Linked DNA regions of Drosophila melanogaster. The protein of the gene in region 2 interacts with the protein of the main gene of each other region in a pairwise test. Each region holds a gene or a part of one and is shown on either strand. Other genes may lie near its edges.

What was found. Proteins that work in one complex are often made in the same cells at the same time.
Region 1: the proteins of CG3176 (region 2) and tomb interact in a two-hybrid assay, tested with the Drosophila melanogaster proteins (one large-scale study listed by BioGRID).
Region 3: the proteins of CG3176 (region 2) and CG6380 interact in a two-hybrid assay, tested with the Drosophila melanogaster proteins (one large-scale study listed by BioGRID).

Annotation. Positions count from the first base shown.
Region 1 is NT_033779.5:5,532,995-5,540,603, reverse strand, and holds tomb (tombola), read left to right. Parts: upstream 1-3,845; 5' UTR 3,846-3,877; coding exon 3,878-4,046; intron 4,047-4,108; coding exon 4,109-4,671; 3' UTR 4,672-4,743; downstream 4,744-7,609. Other genes in the region: Hel25E (helicase at 25E), read left to right, coding at 304-435, 495-897, 960-973; CG14015 (uncharacterized protein), read left to right, coding at 1,494-1,847, 1,921-2,516, 2,575-2,803, 2,872-3,144; Cap-D3 (chromosome associated protein D3), read right to left, coding at 4,847-5,239, 5,301-5,554, 5,618-6,801, 6,862-7,025, 7,082-7,609.
Region 2 is NC_004354.4:478,076-486,464, reverse strand, and holds CG3176 (uncharacterized protein), read right to left. Parts: upstream 4,528-8,389; 5' UTR 4,468-4,527; intron 4,348-4,467; 5' UTR 4,334-4,347; coding exon 4,032-4,333; coding exon of another isoform or gene 4,028-4,031; exon of another isoform or gene 3,948-4,027; coding exon 3,884-3,947; 3' UTR 3,697-3,883; downstream 1-3,696. Other genes in the region: CG18273 (uncharacterized protein), read left to right, coding at 1-1,437, 1,500-2,155, 2,219-2,581, 2,637-3,197, 3,420-3,581; CG32817 (uncharacterized protein), read right to left, coding at 6,372-6,435, 6,520-6,821; CG13373 (uncharacterized protein), read right to left, coding at 8,389-8,389.
Region 3 is NT_033779.5:17,288,209-17,296,174, forward strand, and holds CG6380 (uncharacterized protein), read right to left. Parts: upstream 3,995-7,966; 5' UTR 3,901-3,994; coding exon 3,019-3,900; 3' UTR 2,867-3,018; downstream 1-2,866.

The DNA of each region.
Region 1 (7,609 bases), on a different chromosome or scaffold from region 2:
AAAACTACAAGCAAACAGCAAAGATCCCGCCGACTGGCCGATGAGACGAGTTGAATCAATCCAGAGCGAATGCGATGCGATAGGCCCGCTCATCTGTAATCCGCACACTTCTCAGAGCGATCATCGATCCTCGGGAGCAGTTCAGAGACTAGTTGATGAGATGTGGTGGTAGCGTGGCCGTATGTAGAATATTCTATGCATATTGTTGTATGTTCCGAGGCGAGCCTAGTCTAAGTTCGATTTCTCTGTACCCCTCCTAATTGTGTCCTTTAAAATGCGCCACATTCTATTTCCCAAATCCAGCCCATGGAGGTCTACGTCGACGATGAGGCCAAGCTGACGCTGCACGGACTGCAGCAGCACTACGTCAATCTGAAGGAGAACGAGAAGAACAAGAAACTGTTCGAACTGCTCGACGTGCTCGAGTTCAATCAGGTAGGTCATTCGGTGGTCTTAACTTATATTTACCACTTACTTGATTATCCCTGTCATAGGTGGTCATCTTTGTGAAGTCTGTGCAACGTTGCGTGGCTCTGTCGCAGCTGCTGACGGAGCAGAACTTCCCCGCCATCGGCATCCATCGTGGGATGACCCAGGAGGAGCGTCTGAATCGCTACCAGCAGTTCAAGGACTTCCAGAAGCGCATTCTGGTGGCCACCAATCTCTTTGGCCGCGGCATGGACATCGAGCGTGTGAACATCGTGTTCAACTACGACATGCCCGAGGATTCCGACACCTACTTGCATCGCGTGGCCCGTGCCGGTCGCTTCGGCACCAAGGGACTGGCAATCACATTCGTTTCGGACGAGAACGACGCCAAGATACTTAACGAAGTACAGGATCGTTTCGATGTGAACATCAGTGAGCTGCCCGAGGAAATCGATCTCTCTACATACAGTAAGTTGCAATGATGAGTAATCCCCAGCCACCAGCAGTGCTAACTTGATTTTCTTTTCCAGTTGAGGGACGCTAGAGCTCGAAGGTGCATGTTAATCGGAACAAGACTATGCACTTCGAATAGATACAAACCTAAAACCTTTTTTAAAACTCTACTTTATAACTAAATAAAAACTATTCAGACAATGTGTTGACAAACAAAAACGGAATTATAAGTAATGTATTTATTTTGGGAATGGATTCTAAAACCCACTTGTTTCACATTTCCGTTTAAACTATTTTATTTGTGAAAATTTCTGGGGCATATTCCCTTAAATAACTTAGCAATATTAATGTGTACAATATTATAAATCAACTCACAATAAAATGTCCAAAAAAAATAACAAACTCGCATATGCTTTAATGGTGAAATGGTAATTGGGAACTCGCTGGGCATAGTTTAGTGTGTCCGTTTCAGGACATGCGCAATGGCCAGGAACTTCCGGCAGCTGCATTGCGACAGGAAGAGAAGGGGTTGTGGGGTGGAGGTACGAAAAACTGGGGACGAAAAACAACGAGGACGTCCAAACAATGAGAGAAAATGCACGCTTGCGAAAATGCTGCTAAAAAAGTATGTGAAAACGCGGCGTAAGCTGAAGATTCTACTCCTGCTGGCCATCGTCGCCCTGCTGGTCATCACCATCATAGTGCTGGGCTCCAGCGGACGCAATGCGGCCATCGAACTGCTGCTGGACGAGCGATTCATCGCACGCGCCTACAGGCCCGGGGATCAGCCCCAAGTGGCGGAGAAGCCGCCGCCGGTGGCCGTCGCGCTGCTCCAGCCGCAGCGGGAGAACGGAGTGATTGTGCCCGAGAAGTATGACGAGCAGAAGATCAAGGAGCGCATCATTCAGAGCAAAATCGATCTGATGAAGCAGCAGCAGCAGCGGGACCACGAGGCGGAGCAGTCTGTAAGTTTCCAGTTCAGTCCAAGAAGGTGGCCAATCTTAGTCCTTAAATCTTAAAAATGTACACTTTGTTCAGTCGCGTACCACTTTGGATGTGGTGATCAGTGCAGTGCACATATTCTACACTGCCCCGGTGCCGTGGTACAAGTCGAAGAAGCCGCCTCCGCCGCCAGCGGAGCACCCAAACGATGTGCCACTGACCACGCCGCGACCAGTGCGAATCCTAAACACCGCCTTCTATCCGGCACTGGGTCTGTACAAGCCCAGTGGCTCGCTGCTGGCCCAGCATTTCGAGAACATACGCAGCTGTGGCATCGGTGTGCTCATCCTGAGCTTCTCCGGTGGCAAGCCCGCGGAGGCGGCACTGCTGCATCAGATCTTGGAACTGGCACCGCAGCACAATCTTAGCGTTACCTTTGAGCTCAGTGTGGCCGGGAATCAGAGCGTGGAGTTTGTGCGCCAGCAGCTGCAGGAGATTGCCACATACACCAGCCTAGCTGGATTCTACAAGGTGTGGAGTCAGTCGAGAGGTGTCTCCCTGCCGGTTCTCTACGTGAGCAATGCCTACAAGTTGAGTGATAGTCTGGGAAGGCTGTTGTGTCGATCGCCTTCGCTGGTGGAACCGGATGGTCTGCGGAGAATTCTGGATGCCTTATTCATTGGACACATAAGGTGGGGTGCGCCTTAGATTATCCTAGGTGATTCTATATATCCTTTCGTTTCTCTCCAGGCTCAAAAGCCATGCCGATGTCCTGCGGAGGTTGTGCTTCGATGGCTTCTACAGCAAACTGCCCAGCAATGGAGCTGTCTTCGCCAGCACTTGGAAGAACTGGTCGTATCTGAAGTCATTTGCGCTGTCCTACAAGATGCTCTTTGTGCCCACGGTGGGTCCGGGATTCGCGGAGAGGAACAAGTTTCCGCGACACGGAGACATCCAGCGGCATCGCAGCAATGGACGGGTGAAGGAGCAGCCATCAACTGGAGTGCCAGAACAGGCTACTAATACTAATATCATTTGATCTTGCAGTACTATGGCGTGGCCTGGCGGACAGCCATTCTCAACCACGTGGGCTTCATCAACATAGCCAGCTACAACAACTGGCCGGATGGCAGCCAGATCGAGGAGGTGATGCCACGCGCCGGCTTCCTCGACTACAATCCGGGCTCGAGAACGAAATATCTGGATCTCACGGCCCATTGGGTGGGCAACTTTCTGAAGACGCGACAGGAGGCGGCGGCAGCAGCCTCGCCAGCATCGCCGCCCAACTGTTACGAGCTGCTCAATGGAACCATATGCTAGGAGCGCACCAAGTGGGACTAGTTAGGAGCGCAGCGGAGATAATCCTAGTTACTTTAGAAGCAATAGCAACGATTGCAGGCCACTCAATTACTTTCCAACTGTTAAGAAGTCTTCTGCTGCACACATTTACACACTGCATAAATATATCGTTTTGATAGTGATATTTTTGAAAACGCGCGCCCAAATGTCGAGTTTTTTGGCGGGAAATGCAACGCACTTCATTCCAATTACATAAGTAATTTAAGTACTAAACGCCAATCAAAAAAAGAGAATTTTGAGAAGAGGTTTGAGTTGGTTTCGCTGCCAAATCACTCGACACAGAATATATATGAAAGGAAAGCAATTACAATTGATATCAATTAATAATGTAACTCTTTTTATTACATCTATAATATAAAATAGCTTTCAATTATCGTAGACTAAACGAGTAGAGGAGAACAATATCATAACTTAATGCCATGCCATATTATGTAGACACCAAAGGAAATTATCTATGTTATAACGATATAAACTAGACACTTGTTAAACGATTGGTACTTAACAAATTTTAACTTTATTACCAGTACGACATATAAATACTTTATCTAAGCTTTAATAGTTTAGTGCCCACAATATTGCTGTTTTATTTATACATATATATTTTTATATGTATAAGGGTTGCCATCCTTTCAACACTGATTTTTTTTGTTGGAGCTGTCATCAGTTCGTTTCTGGAAGAGATTAAGGCAGCAACATGCCATCGCCCAAGAAAAGAAGTGTGGATAAAGCGGATGGCAAGAAGGGCAAGGGTCAAGGAGCAGGCGGCGTGAAGGGATGCTGCTGCAAGCGGTCGCAGTGCATCAAGAACTACTGCGACTGCTATCAGTCCATGGCCATCTGCACCAAGTTCTGTCGATGCGTTGGTATGATTTCATTTCTATAAGCATAAATATACCCTACGGCACTCATATACCCTGTAATGCAGGCTGCAGGAACACAGAGGTGCGCGAGTTGGTGGACCCCAACTCCGTGGCCAAGAATTCCAGCGCTGTGAAAAGGCAGAAGGCGGCTGCGATGAGCGCCAAGGCAGCAGCCGCAGCTGCCAAGGCGGGCATCGATGTCCAGGGCAAGGCGCTCCAGGTGGCGGCATCCACTTTGGCGTTGCCCGGCAAGGCGCTAATGACGCCGCCAAAGTATACCCTAGTGGCTGGCAAACCACCGATGGCTAGTAGTCACATTAACCCCATACCCATCTCACGACCCATAGCGACTGCCGCCACTCCAGCCAGGGCAGTGAAGCAACCGGCGGAACCTCCGATGCCCGTCAATCTGATCATTCCGGTGCGGCACGACGATCGCAGGGATCGGAATCTCTTCGTGCAGCCGGTGAACGCGGCTCTGCTGGAGTGCATGCTCATCCAGGCCACGGAAGCCGAACAGTTGGGCCTGAACGAGCTCCAAGTGTGCCAGCTGGTGCTCGAAGAGTTTATGCGCGGCTACAAGAACATTTTGGAGAAAATATGCGAGTACAGCAAGGATTATTATTAACTCAAAACGTCAAAATGGCTTATTAAATAGTTTCAAGGTCAAGAATAACTTGATTCCATTTTTGGCTTATAGATACATACATATGTACATTTTATAATGCAAAATAATACAATATTCGATTTGTGTAAAACTAAATAATTGAGAAATTCAGTTTGCAAGGTCGCAAAAATTGAAACTACCAATCGGGTGGCTGGAAAATCAGCTCGGTGACAAGCATATCGCAGCTGGTTTTCCTTTGGGACAAACGGGAGGCAGTCGGCGTGGTCTTGTGCCTGTCCAGCGGCAGCTCACTGTCACTGTCGCTCTCCGACTCGTGCTCCTCATGGGACTCGACTTCGCCCTCCTCCATACGTCGTCGCTTGCTTCTGCTCGCTCTGGGAGCTTTCGCCGATGATCGAAACTGCCGCCAAAATTGCGCGGGCTGGGCGAACTCAATGTAGTTGGGGAATCTCATGGCCATCGCTCGGCAAAAGGATTCAAAGTTGTGACTAAGCTCGGGACTCATGACGGGCACTATGTTGCGATGGGTTTCTTCCACAAAGCGAAGACAGCGTTCCAGTTGCTTGAGCTGCAAAGGAATTTGAACATTTAGCTCAAGGGGGAAAAGTTAATCAGTTAGATTTACATACTGGCTCCTCGGACATGTCCGCCTTTCGCCCTCTTCCTCTGCTTGTTGCCTCGCCTGCTTCTGGTCTAGTTGGTGGAGTTGCTGGCTCCGATGACGCATCTTCACCTTCATCGATATTGTCGCCCTCGCCACGAGAGTTCTTCTCTTTACCCATTCCCTTGGTGCAATAGCAAATGCGGCGCATGATGAAGAGCATATCCTGAACCACAATCAGGGCGTCGGGATTGTTGATGAATGCTTGGTCTCTGGTCTTTTCTACAAGAAGTATATATATCTTAGCATATCTACTTGAAGTATGTATAAAACAACTTTACTCACCTGCCAGCAGTTTTAGTTGGCCGAAGTAAAGCAACAGCACGTTCTCGTCCATCGAGGACATTATGTGATTGTAGAGCAACCTACGTTTCTTGGCCATTTGTGAACCCTTCAGAGGTGACTTGTAGTTGCCATTCGTTCTCACGCCCCTCAAAATAGCCTGGTCATTCAGATCGAAGGGGCACTCCTTCAGGCAGTGATCGAATAACATTTTGTTGTACAACTTTTTGTAGCGAGTGAAGAAGGCATCCGCCTCCCTGGCCACCTCGGCACTTTCGTCCACCAGGGCAGCCAGCATGGATATGAGAATTGGACCCTTGAGCTTAATATTCCCGGACAGAATCACATCCTTGACGCAGCGAAAGGTGCGCACCCGGGTCATGGCGAATTTCGATTGTAGTTTCGACAAGATCGCCTGAAAGTTACTCTCTAGAATTGATGGATGCTTCTTGCCGAGATCGTTGAGCGCTATTAAAGTGGTATTGATGATCTGAGGTCTGTCGTTTTTCGTCAGTATGGTTATGTACAGCTTGGATGCACTATTGGCCAGATGATTATCTCGCAATGACAAACGACCGGCTATCACAATCATCCAGTTGGTCATGCGCTCGTTATCCGAATCGAATTCCGATTCACAGAGCTTGGTACACTCCTGCAGATATTTAAACACAATGCTCACGATCCTATTGTCCACATCCTGGGGCACCATCACAATTAGCTCGGTATAGGCGCCCAGCAAGCACTGCAGCCGGGCATATTCCTCCTGAAAATTTTGAGCACTGCTCAGAATGCCCTCGACGAGATCTTCCAGCAAACTGAGCTGCCAGTATGGCATCTCGGAGGCAATCGTAGGTGACTGGCTGGTAGAAAGGTGATGGATCTGGTTGAGCAAATTGACGGCACTCGAGATGATGCCCAACCAAATGCTGCCCGTGCGCAGGGCATTTAGTAGTTTTTGGAATAGCTGATTGAGTGCCGGCTTGGAGAAGTTCCTCAGGCAGCCAGTGATCAGCTGCAGCGCCAGAAATTGATTGGACTTCATGTTGTAGGAGGAGAGGCCATTGAAAATGCCAATCAGCGCGTCCATGTTGTTGGTGATGCGACTGGACAGGAATAGCAGCAATCCCCAGGCATCGGTAGCCATGGACGTGGATAGGTGGGAGATAATCACATTCACCAGTCTGGGTCTGCAAACATCAAAGGAGACTCTTATAATCCTTGAGATTCTTAGCAATGATATAACCTACGTTACTATGGTTTCCCGTTCCAGTAAAACAGCGAATCTCTCTTGAAGATAAGCTCTTGGTTGAGTCATCAGCAGGGTGCTGATGATTCGCCAGGGCATAAAGTGTTTCGCTTCGTTTGAATACTCCAGGGGCTGAATGTTTTTCAAGACCATTCTATCGAAGCTCTGCAAGCAAGTTACAAAGTTTAGTATATTAATAAACTTTCAAAGTGTTTACCTACCGAAATGGCCAGTTTCTGGAGCGCCACATCCTCATCGCTCATTAGGCAAGCCCAAATCCGGCAGTACACACAAATCAGGGCGAAACAATTGGAGTAGGCCTCCAGCAGGGTTTCTATGGTCTCCAGTGCAGATTTCCTCACCGAAGACAAGCGATCCACGGCCAGCAAGGAGGTTTCCTTCACAAAATTCGTGTTATAGATGATCAGGGGATTGACTAGGACCAGTCTTTCGAGTAGAGCTATGCCAGCGGAACGCGCCAAACCATTATCCGCGGCCAGAAAACGCTGGTACACCGTTTGGGGCAAGTTCTTCACCTCCGTCTCCAGTTGCTCATGTCCCTGGAAACTAAAGGCATACTGCACAATTCCGGGCTTCTCGAAACGCAGCTCGTTTTGCTGGGCAGAGGGTTCAGCCAAAGCTTCCACATCAGTATCATCGAACTGAACGAAACGAATGCTTTCCTGCAGAATTTTTTTCGTCATCGGGGATCCTTGTCTCAGCGCCAGGATGAGCACTTGACACGCCTT
Region 2 (8,389 bases):
TTTTAATACTTCTCTGTTCTGCGTTGCGGTATAATCCTCTCCTGCTGGAGCAGAGTGTTTACCAGATAACCGTTTGGATGCTCACGACTCCCAAGGAGAATGCCCAAGTGGAGGAGCTGTATTCGGAGTACCTTATTCTACTGCTGGACATGTTTCGCCGTCTTAGTCGCGCAGAGCGGTTCATCATCAATCTCCTCAAGGTCCTAGGAGCATGGTTGGGAAAGTACACTTTGGATGTTCCCCCTAATGAAGCTAAGAAGCGACGCATCCAGGACTCTAAAATTATTGAAGCTGAAGGCCATCAGTTGGAGGAGCGCTTTCTAGGCATAATTTTTAATAGAACCCCTTTAGCCACAGCTCCTTCGGCCAATGACGCTTTCAAGCAGCTGTGCCAAACGTGGCCAAGCCACTCAGCCGGTGTGGCTTTCACTCGTTTAATTAGCAACCTGATGAGCAAACCATCTCTGGTGATTTGGAAAAGTCTGTTGCATTCCTTCGCGGAGCTGCTTGAGGAGGATCAGCCGAAAGAAGTGCTGCCCGAAAACCTGGACTTTGCTCGGGAACTGCATGCTGCGCTCCTTTGCCAATACTTAAACGGCACTCGACTGGCTGAGCAAGTGCAACTTTATCAGCTGCAAGTGGAGCAACAACTACAGCACACTTGCCAGGTCCTGGAGCAGTTCGGACGGCTTTTACTACGCCAAGAGCACAACCGCCGGCTTATGAATGCCTTTCTGGAGTGCACTGAGAGAGCCAGCGGTTTTGAGCTTCTATTGGCGTACTACTGGCCAGATGGTTTCCCCGCCAGCCAGCGGCCAGTCCAGCTGAGGGGTTTCCTGCCCACCGCCGAGTGGACGTTGATCCAGCAAAGGGTGTACAACTTTGGCAAGAACTGCTGCCGGCTGAGATTGCAGCGTTTGGAGCTGCAGCTTGTTGAGAGTGGTTGGTTGCTGAAGGATCAAAGGGGAGCCAATTGTTCGGATGCCCTGGCTGAGTTAGTCCCACCGTATCAACTCTTTCGGCTTTCCAGACCACAGAAGCAGCTCCGTTTGCATCAAAGGAAACATAATCAAAGCTTGGAACCCCATCTAAATGATTCGGAGAGCATTGAGATCCTTACATTGCAGCTGCTTAAGGAATATGGAGCAGAGGCCAAAGAAGCGAAGGCCAAGGGGTCACTATTGGTGAAACTGAAACTGGAAGAGCAGGTGGAGGAGAACTCGCTGACACAATTCCTAAGGGATAACGCGTCGGTGGAAATTGACTTGCATTTGCCCCCAGCCCAGGTACTGGTCAAGACTCTGCAGGGCCTTCCATTGGCTCAGTTGCCCCGTAACATTCGATCGCGCCTTTGGCTGGTGATCTTTGTTCTATACAGGGATCTCAGTCTTAGCCATCAGGAGGAGAACGCCAATCAGATTCTGGAGCTACTAATAGGTAAATAATTTAATCGAATTTATACTTCAAACTCATTTGTTGGATAAACTACTTGCTTGCAGATCTTATGCATTTCGGCCATCCGCTTCCCATATGCAGCTACTTCCCGCGGCTAAGCGAACTGCTTTGCCTTATCCCCACCAGCTCGACGGTGGGTTGGAGCTTCTACGAAACACTTTTTGCACGTTGCATTCGCCGACAGGGTGCCGGTAGTGAAGCATTTCTTGCAAGTTGCACGGGCTTTTTTAAGGATCAACTGGCTGCGTTAAACAAATTGCCAGCGGAAGAGCGTCGTCTTTTGCTGCTGGCCATCGAAACACTTAGCAGTGTAACTGGAGCTCAGGGCAGGCGATTGCAAGGCCAGCTACAGCCACTTATTCAGATCTATGGCGAAATGGTGACTCACAAGTTTCGCTCCAAGAAAAAGGAGGCGTCTGCTTATAAGGAGTTCGTGGATAGCACGCTATCAGGTTATGCAACTTACGTGAGCAATTGCATAAATAGCGTAGTCAGGTGGGAGCGGGAAGAGCAGAAGAAGAGAAATGAGTCGGAGAGTTCAGAAAAAACGAAGGCTGAGCCAAAAGTAGACCACAAGAAGAAAAATAGGGATCCAGAGACAGCGAAGATTCAGGAGTTGGAGGACAATGGAAAGCAGAGGCAGCCGAAACTCATAGATGAAAACTTTCGACGTATCTGTAAGATATACATTGGTCACTCGGTGGGTGCTTTTCGTGTTTATAAGTATTGAACAAACCAAACAACAATATTGCTATATTTTTAGTTGAACTATCGCGATGCTAATGCGACACGCTTGCTGAATGTGGCGCTCACCCATCGTCAACGTTTGCATTTGGATCCGGATGAGATAGAGTTCGTGCTAAGCAGCTATTGGAGGCAATTGAATACAGACATTGAGGTGGGCGACACATTTTCCAGTTCAGCACTGGATTGTCTGGAGCCGGCCATTAAGCTGATCATTGGCTATAAGACTAACGAGGATTTCCTACTGCTCCTGCACCGTCTTTCCTCACAAGTGGAGCAAATGGCACGCCCTGCGTCGCAAACGGAGCACACGGCGCTCCAGAATGTGCTAACCCTTTTGGCTCTCTTTGCCAAATGCTCGTTGAGCAGCGTGAAGGGAGCGGTGAGTCTTCTCCAGCACCTTGTCCTCGTTCCATAGTTAATAATGTTCTCTTTAGATGCTTAATGAGCATTTCGAGGTGATCAGTGTGAGTGTTGCACTGCGTCTACCGGAACCCAAAGACTTGGCATATTCTGGTCATGCCCTTCGACTCCTGGAGGCCCAGCGCAATCTGGCTGGGAATCGTACGGTCCCTCTCACAGGAGAGTCCCTGGATTGCCTTCTTAGCAGCATGTTGGATATAGACATCAAGCACTTGATCAGCCACGGCGGCAGTTGGCAACAATTTGTGGATCTGTATAGTGCACTCACAGACAACCTGATTGTGCTGTTAAAACAACACAGTAACCTGATGTCAGACCGAGCAGCCCAGCTCAGTGTCCTTTGCCAGGATCTCATCCAGGCCGTCGTTGGCTATCGGGCGGAAAGAAAGCAGACACAGGACATAAGTGAAACGGAGCTGGATGGTTTGGCGGACTTGGGTCTGAAACTGGCTACTGTAATGGCCACAGTGCGCGCCACGCAGGCACTGGCCGTGAAGAGAGTCGCACCCTTCCTGCTTATCTTCACCATTCGCCAAATGGTAGCAACCGAAAGGCCCACGACGCTGTTCGAAAAGGTGTGTTTTACGTTAAGGGAACGCCATTGGCCAAGTCGAAGTCAAAATTCAAGTTTCGCAGCATTCCGAAGAATAGATCAACGATTTTTGTTTCGTGTTAAGAAGTATATGGTTCTATATTCTTTAAGGAGTAATAATTGCCATTTTTTTATTCTATGCGTCCACGTAGTATATATATTTTTATAGTGGGCTTACTTTGACTAATAATACGATTTTCCCCAGATCAAGGTCCACATAGTGCGCGTGTGCCATGAACTGATCGGTATTTGCGATCACCGTGCCGGACACTTCATCCTACGCTCCAGCAATGAGGCCGGCGCCAGGATGTACGAAGGATTGGTGAAGGATCACGAGAAGTACCACAAATTTAGGGGCAAGGTGTAGGTAGAGACAAGGAACGAGTACACCTGTAAATTTTTTTTTATATTTATATGAAATACCAACTCTTTAAATATAGAAATATAAAAATGATTGAGTTGTCCAAAATTTGTACTGCTTCAGAACTTAAAATTTAACAAGCACTGTGACCTTGCTGAGTGCTTGTTTGTGTGAAGCCGAACATCTGGCAGTACTCGCACAGCGCTAACGAAGAATAGATCAAAGATTTTTGCCTAATGTTAAATACTATATAGCTCTATATTCTTTAAAACGTAATACATTTGACATTTGCTTGATTGTTTGATGCCCTAGCTGAGGAACATCTGGCAGTGCTCGCACAGCGGATCCTCCTCTTCTTCAATTCGATTACCACTGGAAATAAGATGATGGTCGATTGATTTTTAAACTAACGGGTTTCCCTAGGGGGATGCTTCTTCCTTCTGGGACTTAACTCACAATAAAGTCACGCAGTTGCGGCAAATAAACTTGGCGCACTCGCCGCAGGAGTAGCCACACTCCTCGCAGAGATCCATCACGCAGTTGACGCATATGTCGTGGATGAGTGTTGGGAGCTGGCAGCAGCGCGATTTCAGGGGCGGATTCGACAAGTCGATGGAATGGTTGCGCAGAATGATGGAACCATCGCCCAGCAGATAGTACTGCTCGCATAGGGCGGGCTCCTCCTGGCCTGGCCCCAATGGATTCAGGGTATTCTGGCCCTGACCTTGCCCATTGCCGGTTTCGCCATCGAAAAGCATTTTGATTGTCTTCTCTGCAAAATAAATAGCAAAACGGAGATTTCCAGTTCAGGGTTAGACACCTCAAGGACGCCGCTCTTCCATCAGCTTCGATGGAACGTGACATATAACAGCAAAAAAAAAAGAATATTTACTTGATTTGTTTGAGGTCAGCGAGAAGTGCAATCAGAACCCTTAAAATTTCCAAATTGCAATGACAGTAAAATAGTGAGACCGATCGCGGGAAACAAGCTGACTTGACCCCATTCAAAATGCCAAAATCAGTAAATCACAAAATCGATTAATTTGCCAATCGATTCTTACTTGCAATTGCGAATTTCTGAACACTGTAGCAGTTTATTGCCAATCTCTTCGTGGGGTTATCCCCGTAAATTTGTGGTCGCTGCTTTGCTCCATTTTTTGTTCTCGTGTTTAACGGTTTAAACTGAACTCATCTTTGCATTGAGCAACAACAAGCCCGACATAACTGCACTCTGAGCGGCGCTTCCTCTCCGATCTACCACCCGCTCCATTACAGGAAGTAGGAGTAGGTGAGTTGGTGCAAGTGGGACAATGCTTTACATACCAAGGACCCTCTTCATCTTTCGTGGTCCGCGGGGGTCGCCCATTTCTGTTCAAGATTGTCTGCCCATGGTTCTCAGCTCTGAGCTGCTCCAGGATGCCCTGCGGTCCAGCAACAAGCTTCTATTCGAATGCTATGGCAGCCTGATCAGATGCTATCAGGAGTGCGTTGAACTTCGCAAGGATAACAAGGATCGGACTAAGAGCCAAGACTACTGGGATGCAGAGTTTGTAGGTTCTGTGATCAAGCAGCTGGCAGAGATGGTTCGCCGCTCTCAGGAGCCTGAAAAGCTGTTAGAAGAGAACAATTCGAAAACTGTTCGTCCTCTTGTCACTCGGTGGGTGCTTTTCGTGTTTATAAGTATTGAACAAACCAAACAACAATGTTGCTATATTTTTAGTTGAACTATCGCGATGCTAATGCGACACGCTTGCTGAATGTGGCGCTCACCCATCGTCAACGTTTGCATTTGGATCCGGATGAGATAGAGTTCGTGCTAAGCAGCTATTGGAGGCAATTGAATACAGACATTGAGGTGGGCGACACATTTGCCAGTTCAGCACTGGATTGTCTGGAGCCGGCCATTAAGCTGATCCTTGGCTATAAGACTAACGAGGATTTCCTACTGCTCCTGCGCCGTCTCTCCTCACAAGTGGAGTAAGTGGCACGCCCTGCGTCGCAAACGCAGCACATGGCGCTCCAAAATGTGCTAACCCTTTTGGCTCTCTTTGCCAAATGCTCGTTGAGCAGCGTGAAGGGAGCGGTGAGTCTTCCCCAGTACCTTATTCTCGTTCCATAATGTTCTCTTTAGATGCTTAATGACCATTTCAACCGGAACCCAAAGACTTGGCATATTCTGGTCATGCCCTATGACTCCTAGAGGCCCAGCGCAATCTGGCTGGGAATCGTACGGTCCCTCTCACAGGAGAGTCCCTGGATTGCCTTTTTGGCAGCATGTTGGATGTAGACATCAAGCACTTGATCAGCCACGGCGGCAGTTGGCAGCACAGACAACCTGATTGTAACAGCACAACACAGTAACCTGATGTCACCCCGATCAGCCTAGCTCAGTGTCCTGTGGCAGGATCTAATCCAGGCCATCATTAGCTATCGCGCGGAAAGAAAGCTGACACAGGACATAAGTGAAACGGAGGTGGATGGTTTGGCGGACTTGGGTCTGAAACTGGCCACTGTAATGGCCACAGTGCGCGCCACGCAGGCACTGGCCGTGAAAAGTCGCACCCTTCCTGCTTATCTTCACCATTCGCCAAATGGTAGCAACCGAAAGGCCCACGACGCTGTTCGAAAAGGTGTGTTTTACGTTAAGGAAACGCCATTGGCCAACTCAAGGTCATGATTTAAGTTTTCTAGCATTCCAAAGAATAGATCAAAGATTTTTGCTTAATGTTAAATACTATATAGCTCTATATTCTTTAAAACGTAATACATTTGACATTTGCTTGATTGTTTGATGCCCTAGCTGAGGAACATCTGGCAGTGCTCGCACAGCGGAGCCTCCTCTTCTTCAATTCGATTACCACTGGAAATAAGATGATGGTCGATTGATTTTTAAACTAACGGGTTTCCCTAGGGGGATGCTTCTTCCTTCTGGGACTTAACTCACAATAAAGTCACGCAGTTGCGGCAAATAAACTTGGCGCACTCGCCGCAGGAGTAGCCACACTCCTCGCAGAGATCCATCACGCAGTTGACGCATATGTCGTGGATGAGTGTTGGGAGCTGGCAGCAGCGCGATTTCAGGGGCGGATTCGACAAGTCGATGGAATGGTTGCGCAGAATGATGGAACCATCGCCCAGCAGATAGTACTGCTCGCATAGGGCGGGCTCCTCCTGGCCTGGCCCCAATGGATTCAGGGTATTCTGGCCCTGACCGTGCCCATTGCCGGTTGCGCCATCGAAAAGCATTTTGATTGTCTTCTCTGCAAAATAAATAGCAAAACGGAGATTTCCAGTTCAGGGTTAGACACCTCAAGGACGCCGCTCTTCCATCAGCTTCGATGGAACGTGACATATAACAGCAAAAAAAAAAGAATATTTACTTGATTTGTTTGAGGTCAGCGAGAAGTGCAATCAGAACCCTTAAAATTTCCAAATTGCAATGACAGTAAAATAGTGAGACCGATCGCGGGAAACAAGCTGACTTGACCCTATTCAAAATGCCAAAATCAGTAAATCACAAAATCGATTAGTTTCCAATCGATTCTTACTTGCAATTGCGAATTTCTGAACACTGTAGCAGTTTATTGCCAATCTCTTCGTGGGGTTATCCTCGTAAATTTGTGGTCGCTGCTTTGCTCCATTTTTTGTTCTCGTGTTTAACGGTTTAAACTGAACTCATCTTTGCATTGAGCAACAACAAGCCCGACATAACTGCACTCTGAGCGGCGCTGTCTCTCCGATCTCCCACCCGCTCCATTACAGGAAGGAGAGTAGGTGAGTTGGTGCAAGTGGGACAATGCTTTCCATACCAAGGACCCTCTTCATCTTTCGTGGTCTGCGGGGGTCGGCCATTTCTGTTCAAGATTGTCTGCCCATGGTCTCAGCTCTGAGCTACTCCAGGATGCCCTGCGGTCCAGCACCAAGCTTCTATTCGAATGCTTGGCGCGTTGAATTTCGCAAGGATAATAAGGATCGGACTAAGATTCGACGCTCTCAGGGGCCTGAAAAGCTGTAAGAAGAGTACAATTCGCAAACTGTTCGTCCTTTTGTGGGGCTGCATCTGACCTTAAAAACTCCATGCCTAGACGAACTAGGGATAGATGAATGCTTCCGACATATCTGATCATTGTCTTTAAGACTAACGAGGATTTCCTACTGCTCCTGCGCCGTCTTTCCTCACAAGAGGAGCAAATGGCACGCCCTGCGTCGCAAACGCAGCACACGGCGCTCCAGAATGTGCTAACTCTTTTGGCTCTTTGCCAAATGCTCGTTGAGCAGCGTGAAGGGAGCGGTGAGTCTTCCCCAGTACCTTATTCTCCTTCCCTAGTTAATAATGTTCTCTTTAGATCCTTAATGACCATTTCAACCGGAACCCAAAGACTTGGCATATTCTGGTCATGCCCTATGACTCCTAGAGGCCCAGCGCAATCTGGCCGGGAATCGTACGGTCCCTCTCACAGGAGAGTCCCTGGATTGCCTTCTTGGCAGCATGTTGGATGTAGACATCAAGTACTTGATCAGCCACGGCGGCAGTTGGCAGCTATTTGTGGATCTGTATAATGCACTCACAGACAACCTGATTGTGCTGTTAAAAGAACACAGTAACCTGATGTCAGACCGAGCAGCCCAGCCCAGTCTCCTGTGCCAGGATCTCATCCAGGCTATCGGCCGGAAAGAAAGCAGTTACAGGACATAAGTGAAACGGAGCTGGTTGGTAATACATTTGACATTGTGTCGTCCCAAATTTGTACTGCTTCAGAACTTAAAATTTAACAAGCACCGCGACTTTATAAGTGCTGGATTGTGTAAAGCCT
Region 3 (7,966 bases), on a different chromosome or scaffold from region 2:
CCAGGTGCACCAAAAAAAAAAACAACAAATTTAAAACTACATAAATCTTTATTAGCTTTTCCAGCTAGTTTGGTGGAAAAAGAGAAAATTTGAGAGGCAATCAATTAAACAGTGTCACTTGCTGGCCACATTTGCAACACTATATTTACATGACAGAGACAGGGAGAAAAGAAAACTAAAGGGAGAGCCAAAATCCAGCTCCTAATGATGATACGCCGTATCTAAAAAAAAAAATCCGGACCACTTTCTGCTGGCTTTTAACCCGTTGATGTTTTTAAATCGTTCTTATAGCAGTGTAAGTATCTAAATAAGAAAATAAATATTATAATAATGCATAGTTTCAGTCATAATAACAAGGCCCAATTTGCCTTAAAGCTTAAGAAGTCAGGCCATCCATTAATTCAATAAACCGCAGCAAAAGTGGTTTTAAACAGCTATGAGCTACGATGATTGATGCATCAATAAAGTGGCAACCAGAACCCCTCCTTACAGTATATACCCCATTCATTTAGCCATCTAAGCTGCTTTGTTGTCTCCTCTCGAAAATCCATTGGCATTCAATTTTCAAGGCTGCTGCCATGGGTTAACGTTGGCCATCGCCAGGCAATCCATTTATTCCTCGGCCGAGGATGTGCTCGGTGTTCAGTGCTTGGTGCTCTGGGTGCCAGCGATGGGCCATTTTATAATTTATCAAAATGAAAATTGATGCCCCAGCGAAGCAAGTGCAGCTCAATCCCCATTTTCCCTGGCAAAAAAGCCCATCCCCCTGGGATTTTCTTGCGTGCTGCACTTGCAACGTGAGATGACGGAATGAGGATTGTGTACGGAATGGAGAAAGGAGCGCAGCGGAGATGCCGCATGCCACACGAAATGCCATCGCAAATAGCGAAAATGCTTTCGCAAATATTTAGCCGAACTTTTTTAGCGACACGCGTTCAGGTCGAGGTCTGTCTGTAAAGTGGGCAGCTGCTTTAAAGCAGCTCCTTTTTCTTGGCCTCACTTTTCAACCAGTTTCAGTGTTTTTTTTAATGCCCTGTAGCTTCGTGGGTTGAATAGTTTCGGTTAAGTGAAATGATTTCAAAAATGATTCTTTACGTTAAATTTGTATTATTATATGTAAAATAAATACGATTCATCTTAAGATCACTGCTTTTAACTGAACTTAAAAGGACCTAATCTCTAAAATGTAATCATTTACGTGTATGGTTAGAATTTGTACAGTAAAATATTCCAAAAATTTGATTAAGTTGTATTGTAAAATTGTTAGGGAATCTTGTCGCTTATATAGCTTCATCTGCCAGCCAACTTGCAAAATATATATGTATGTATATTCCTTTTTTCTTGGCCACCAGCATTTATGCCAGTTAAGTTGTTGGCCAGTTCGTGACTGCTGGCGGCCTTTATTTGCGCTTGCATTTTCATTTGTGAGTGTAAATAGCATTAAAAATAATTTTCCGGCTTAAAAACGCTCCACACGAACGGAACAGCCAGAAGTGGCAAGGAAGGAGAAAGTGGTCGAAAGGAGGAAAGATAGAGAAGAAAGGGAGCGAAGGAGAGCTGACAGCCGGACGGGCTTATGCACTTAATGAAATGTACACGGCAATTGTTACGGAGACCAAGCCGGAGACGGAGATGCCAAGAAGAACCGGACTGGAGAGTCCGGAGAAGATGGAAAAACGGACGGAGACAGAGATGCTGCGACCATCAATTGCAGCCAACTTAAATTTCACTTCGGACATCACTTCTGACCAAATGGCAAGTTCGCATTAAATGGCTTCACGGGGCTAACGATGCTGCCAACGGGTTAAGCCATCCATGTTGTTTGTCCAATTTAAGTGTTTTTCGGTTTAAATCCACTTAAAAGCCTTGAGTTAAGGATCAACAATTAAATGTCTTGCAAATGGAAAGCTTCGCTGAAGGTGGGAAAATAATGGGCGCTTTCCTTAATGGTAAATGCATTTAATAAATTGTCAATATTGAAATAAGTTCTCAAATGGTACAATACAATTGTACAGCCATAGTTTACATATTGACAGAGAAATGCCTAATCTGTGCTAAGACCAAACATCTCTAAATAAAATGCTTGACCTTAACGTTTAAGTTTTATTTACAAGATCAACGTTACTTAACGTATTTGCCTTTACTCATTTTCTTCTCCGAAAGTATTTGCAAATAAATCTAATTGAAATCTATTCAATGATAACATGGCCCCATAAATATTCATGACACTTCCCCCAACCACCATCCGGTTTTGTGTTGTCCTTTCATTTGCAAGCGAATTGACCGAAGCTTAATAATAATAAAACTGAACTGCTACGGCATTTAATGGCTAAATTAAACATTTTGCATAATTATTTCAAGTGATTCTGCAGTTGTAATATCCGAGGAATTATCTTAAAGGGCAGAAATCAGTTTTCTTCACAATTGGAATGGCCAGAGCATGAAATCAGAATGAAAGCGATTGGCCGGAAGGAAAACTCTTCGGTTGCCTAGACTGTCAAAAGGAATTTTCAATCACAAAACAAAATGCCAAAATAAGTTAAACTCTGGCTGTGTATCCTTGTATCTAGCTTCGGCCGAATGATGATTACCGTTAGGACATTGCGTAATTAAATATTCCCCAGACCAGTGAACTTTCGGAAGCAAAGTATTAATAGATGGGGAGCAAATGAAGGTTAGTGGGTTAATCATATCAACATCTCAGCAATTAGCCTGGCCAGTGGTACTTAGAATTTTCCTATAATTTCCTTAGCAACTTAGACGAGGCACGAACAGGAGTGGAATGACCGAAAGTTATTGGACACAATTTTTGTGATTGAGTAATTAAAGATATTTATCCTTGAGTAAAAACCATTAGGCAACATTTGTTAAAAGCTTCTTCTACAAAAGAGTGTAGATAGATGTAGTGTAATAGATACTTTCTGTCAAATGCATACACAAGTTTTAATCCCCAATGGTTTGTTATAATTACAAGTTTCTTTAATATAACTTTGCAATTTTTAACACTACTGAATGATTTCAGCGGGTCTCTTTCTTAGAAGTGCCAGGACGATTATCAGGGTTGGATTTACATATACGAGCAGGAGTAGGCTTCTCGGACGTTATTTTCAGTGAACTCTTGTGTTCATGTAGATTTTGGGTTTGAGTCGGAACAACCGAAGGGTATGGGACGCGAGGCTCGCGACTTGGTTCATCATCGTTGACCGATGGCATTCGATGCAAGTGCGTTAAAGAGGCCAATTCTTCCGGCTCTGCTTTGCTAAAGAGCTCGGCCTTCAGTTTTTGGTAGCAGTGATGGCTGGGGGAGAAACCTGGTTCAGGCTCAGAATGATCTGATATCCTGTATTCGGATTGACTTTCAGAATATGAGTATTTTGTTTGCGTCAAGTTGCTTGCTTCGCCGTCGAGTTGATTGTTTTCACTGCACGCTTCACAAGATTCCATTCCCCCTTCGCAGTGAATATTAAACTCTGAACTGGTCAACTCGGCAAACTCGTCGGCTATAAGACGTCGAGCCAGTGGAACCGAATAGAACTCCTTGTAATGCACTTTTCGCCGCCTCTCAAACTCCATTCTACGCACTTTTTCCTCTACAGACTCGGGAAAGTCCTCATCCGCCGAGGATTCTTCTGAGTCTCCTTCGATGCCAAATGCCGGCATTTCTGACTTTGATGTGTGTCTCAACTTTTCGATCAGGGCATTTGTATCCAACTCCTTTGGCAAATCCTCCTCAAAGACGAAGGGTGTCTTTGGTTCGTCGATGATCATGTGGCCGTAGTCCTTACCAGCCGGGTGGAACGTGGCCAGTATGTTGACCTCATCAAATTTGGCTGCCTTCAGGCTAAATTGCGCACTATTGTTTCCCGACTTCAGGATGCCCTTTACTTGGTCCCCATCCATTCTTGTTTGTAGCTATGTGTAGTTTTGGCCTTTGAAAGGAACTAATTACCGAACTAAAATGTATTAGTGTAAACTTGTGTGTGCCCTATATGGCTTATAATATTTAACTGATAAAATACATTGTCATCGTCAAAAAATATATAAAAATCGTGGGCTCCTTTTCTTGGAAGATTATTGTATAACTTCATTACATTCGCGTACAATTTTTTATTTTATTTTTAATTTATTATCATAAATCTCTCTATGAACTCTGCACTCAAATTACTCTGTTTAACATTTTAAATTGGGATCTAATTATGTAGTAGAAGGTATGCCTGCTTCAAGTCACATATTATCTTCTTATATTCGATTTTAAAATTACTTTATTTATTGTTACCATACATATTAAATTTGTATGTTTACGTATGTTGTTTAAATGCTGCTTAGTGGAGTTTCAAATTCATTGTTACTCCATCATTATTCTCTGGTAAATTAAGCCAAACATGTTTATTAATTATAAATTAAGTCCTTGTCTCCGTATCGAGCAAATACCCAACCCCTAATCTCGGATAATACCAAATCTCCGATCAGACTGTGGACGGATTCACTTTCAAAATATCAAGTGGTTTTCCTGCTGCAATCTCGAAGTAATCCCTGTTGCCATTGCTACTGTTGTTTTTGTGTTGAGGATGTCAAGAACTCGATGTGTTTGTGTGTGGATGAATGTATTCGGTACTCCAATCGAGATACTTCATAATCCGCGGGAGCAGTTTCCAATCGCAGCCATCGAAACCACAAAGTAAACTCATTTTGACGTGTTCAAAATGGGGTTTTGCCGCCCGTTGGATGGAATGATAGGGGGTTTTGTAAAGCGGAGTCAGAGCAAGGCTTCATTATTGATGCGCCATAGTGGAGTTTTTGTTATTGATGTAAACATATTCATCACAAACATGTTACCTCCGATACGGACGAAAACGTGGAAAATGGGGGAAGTGGGGGCGGTAAATCAAGTGATGATAAGAGGCGTGGGGCAACCAATGCAGTTGTGGCAGTTGCAGTTCGCTCTGTGGCAGCTGCCACTTCAAATAACTTCACTGCACACCGTTTTTCCCGCTTTCTCCCGCTTTTCCAAAGGGAAAAGTGAGGGAGTGCCGCATGTGAAGAGGGGCTAGAGGTCACGGAGCGCTGTATTGGGAATTGATTGCAGCACATTATTTCACAATTTTGCCAGCAAATAAACAAGCCTTTGCCGGAGTACGTTCAGATACGAGCCCAGACACCGCGAGAAAAAATGCGTAAAAATATTAAAGCACGATGCCTTTAATATTTTTATATTAATATTAATATATTTTAAGGGGAGAGACAATATTATCAGTTTCCGTTTATCTGATGGAATGACTAATTAGGTATATATTATTCAAAATGTATATTACTAAAAATTATAAGCTAAATCCGTTTTCTCGCTGTGTAGATCCCCGATACGCTTGCACGCATGTGACGAGCGGATGCTTATAAGCACAGTGGATGCGACAAAACAGCAGCATAAAAGTGACGATGACGAGGATATGTCCTCCTTCACTTGTTCCTCCACGCGATGATGACGTTGCGATGTTGTGTCCTGTTGCGAGGTGAAGATGATGATGATCATCAACATCATGATGATGGAGATATAGGCGATGCCGGCAAACAGTCAACAACTGTTTTTCAGCTGCAGTTTTCCTGCCATGTTTGATTGCCTCTCTGTCGGAGACGAAATGCGATGTTGATGCGGCTAGGAAATTTTTCCTTCGATTTACGAAATTGCAGTTGCCCCGATTGCATTTCTTATGTGCATCAATCGCAACAATGTGCAGTGCCGGCAGGATGTGTGCATTGCGTATCCGCAACTGTGTATCTGTGTTCGAGTGTCTGCGTATATGTGTGTGTATCCGAGTATCTGAGTATCCGTATCCGAGGCTCTGTCTGTGCAAATTCTACGTGCAACGCGCCGCATACATATGCGCATAAATAACAGCTGTGAGGTGAGAAAATCGAACGTGGGCAAGGAGCCTTCCTTGCATCCACATATCAACAGGATTTTATGGCAAAATCATAAATTTTCCTCGACTCTTTCGGCTCTCGTCTTCCGCTATGCAATGCAACATCCGTTTCCGCAAGAAGTTGCATCGAAACGCCCCACACATTCGGCATACAGTGAACTATGAAAAGGCTAGCCGTCTTTGTCTTTTTTCCTCAACTGTACAGTCAATCTTGGATTGAGAAATTACACGGTACTTAAAATATAAATGTTTTGACACTATAAGTAAAATTTATAAACATATTTGTTGCATCAGTAAATCAAATTTGAATGCATTTGAAGGTTATTGAATGCAAAGGTTATTGCAGACCTTGATTGCGTGAAAAGAAATATTATTTATTTGGACTACTTTTAAACTTTCCACATATTTTTGAGCTATTCCAAATTTACAAGCCATTAATAATTATGTTTACTCTCAGGTCTTTTGGAAGATTCCACCTAATCCCTTCCCGCATTCTCACATCGCTTTTATTAATGACAGGATCCTTTACGTGTCCATCGATGAGATCTACCACTGTATTCCAATTGGAAGCGCAAACGGTTATGCATATTTATTAAAAACTGTCTGCTGCGATTAAAAGCCAATCAGACCAATTGCAAATTCCTTTTATTGGCCTACCACCCCTCCCTCTTTATTCATTTCGGTCTCTATCCCCCACACTCCCCCCAACAGGCTGTACTTTATAAATATTTAAAATTTAATTTTTGCATTTCCACACACACAGCCCAGTGCCTATCTCTTTTTCTCCCACTCAGTGTACGCTTGAATGTTGGTTTTGCAGTTTGGGTCTTTGGACCTGTACAATTGTGGAATGCAAGGTATACACAACTTGTGAAAATAACAAATTGGTAAATGTATAATATCTTAAATTTAGCATTGCCTACGAATGAATTATTATTTACATTCTCTTAAAACCACAAACCACATATATATATATATATATATATTATAGATAATCTTTAACAATGCCTAACAGCTTAGTCCCCGCAGTTGGTTGTGAGGAACCAGATAGTCGTTAAAGTCTACACATAATTTTTGCAGTAAGATTAAAATGAGTTCACCCTCTACCCCCTTCCGATCCCACTTACTGCCTTTGCCTGCGTTGCAATCGAAGCGTGAAACGTTCCAAAAGGCAAACACGTTGAGCGCAAATGTACCGCGTTTCCCTTTTGAGCCACCACCCACTGCTCCACCCACTGCACCACCCTCCAAAGAACTCACAGCCAAAACCAAACCAATACCAGGATCACCTGCAATACCGTTGTGTTTGCCTGCCTGCAAGTGTGTGTGTGTATGTGTGTGCTGGCAGTTAGCTAGAGCTTGACAGCTTGGCAAACAGTTAAATAAAGTTGGCATCTCTATACCGAAATCCTCCCCAAACCCGTTCTTCTCCCCTTTTAGTGTGTTAGCCTGATTATTATACTCTACACATCGGAGAGAGTGTTTTCCATTTGGCTATCGAGTTAGTTTGGGATTCAATTTGACTTCCATTGAAAGGGGCCAAAGTTGAATTCGGCTACAGTCTTCATTGACGCAAATGAAATTTTCTTTTCGGAACAATGAGAAAAATTCAAAAGTGCATAAGGTTTTTGTTGCACAAAATATGCTTTCGTTAAAAGTTTGACTCTTCAGCTTCTTTCTTGTTTGCATTATGATATTGGTAATTGAAATAGGAAATATTATTGAAAAAAAACAAACTGATTATTTCCTATCTCATGTAACATACGTAGTGGACTTAGTATCTCCCGTGTGCTAATTTGATTTGGTTTTGACAACATTGATAAGCTTACCAAAATAGTTGTTTTTTTACATGGTTAAGCTGAACTGAAATTCAATTAAAATGGTGTAAACAACGTCATGGGAACCAACAGCATTTGATGAGCTAATGATCAATGAACTATATTGAAAAAAGTATATTAATTAGCTGCAGCCAAAAAAAGTTTAATTGACGTTATCTTTAAATAGTTTGTGAGTGCAGCGAATAAAGTTACTCAGAATCCATATACGTT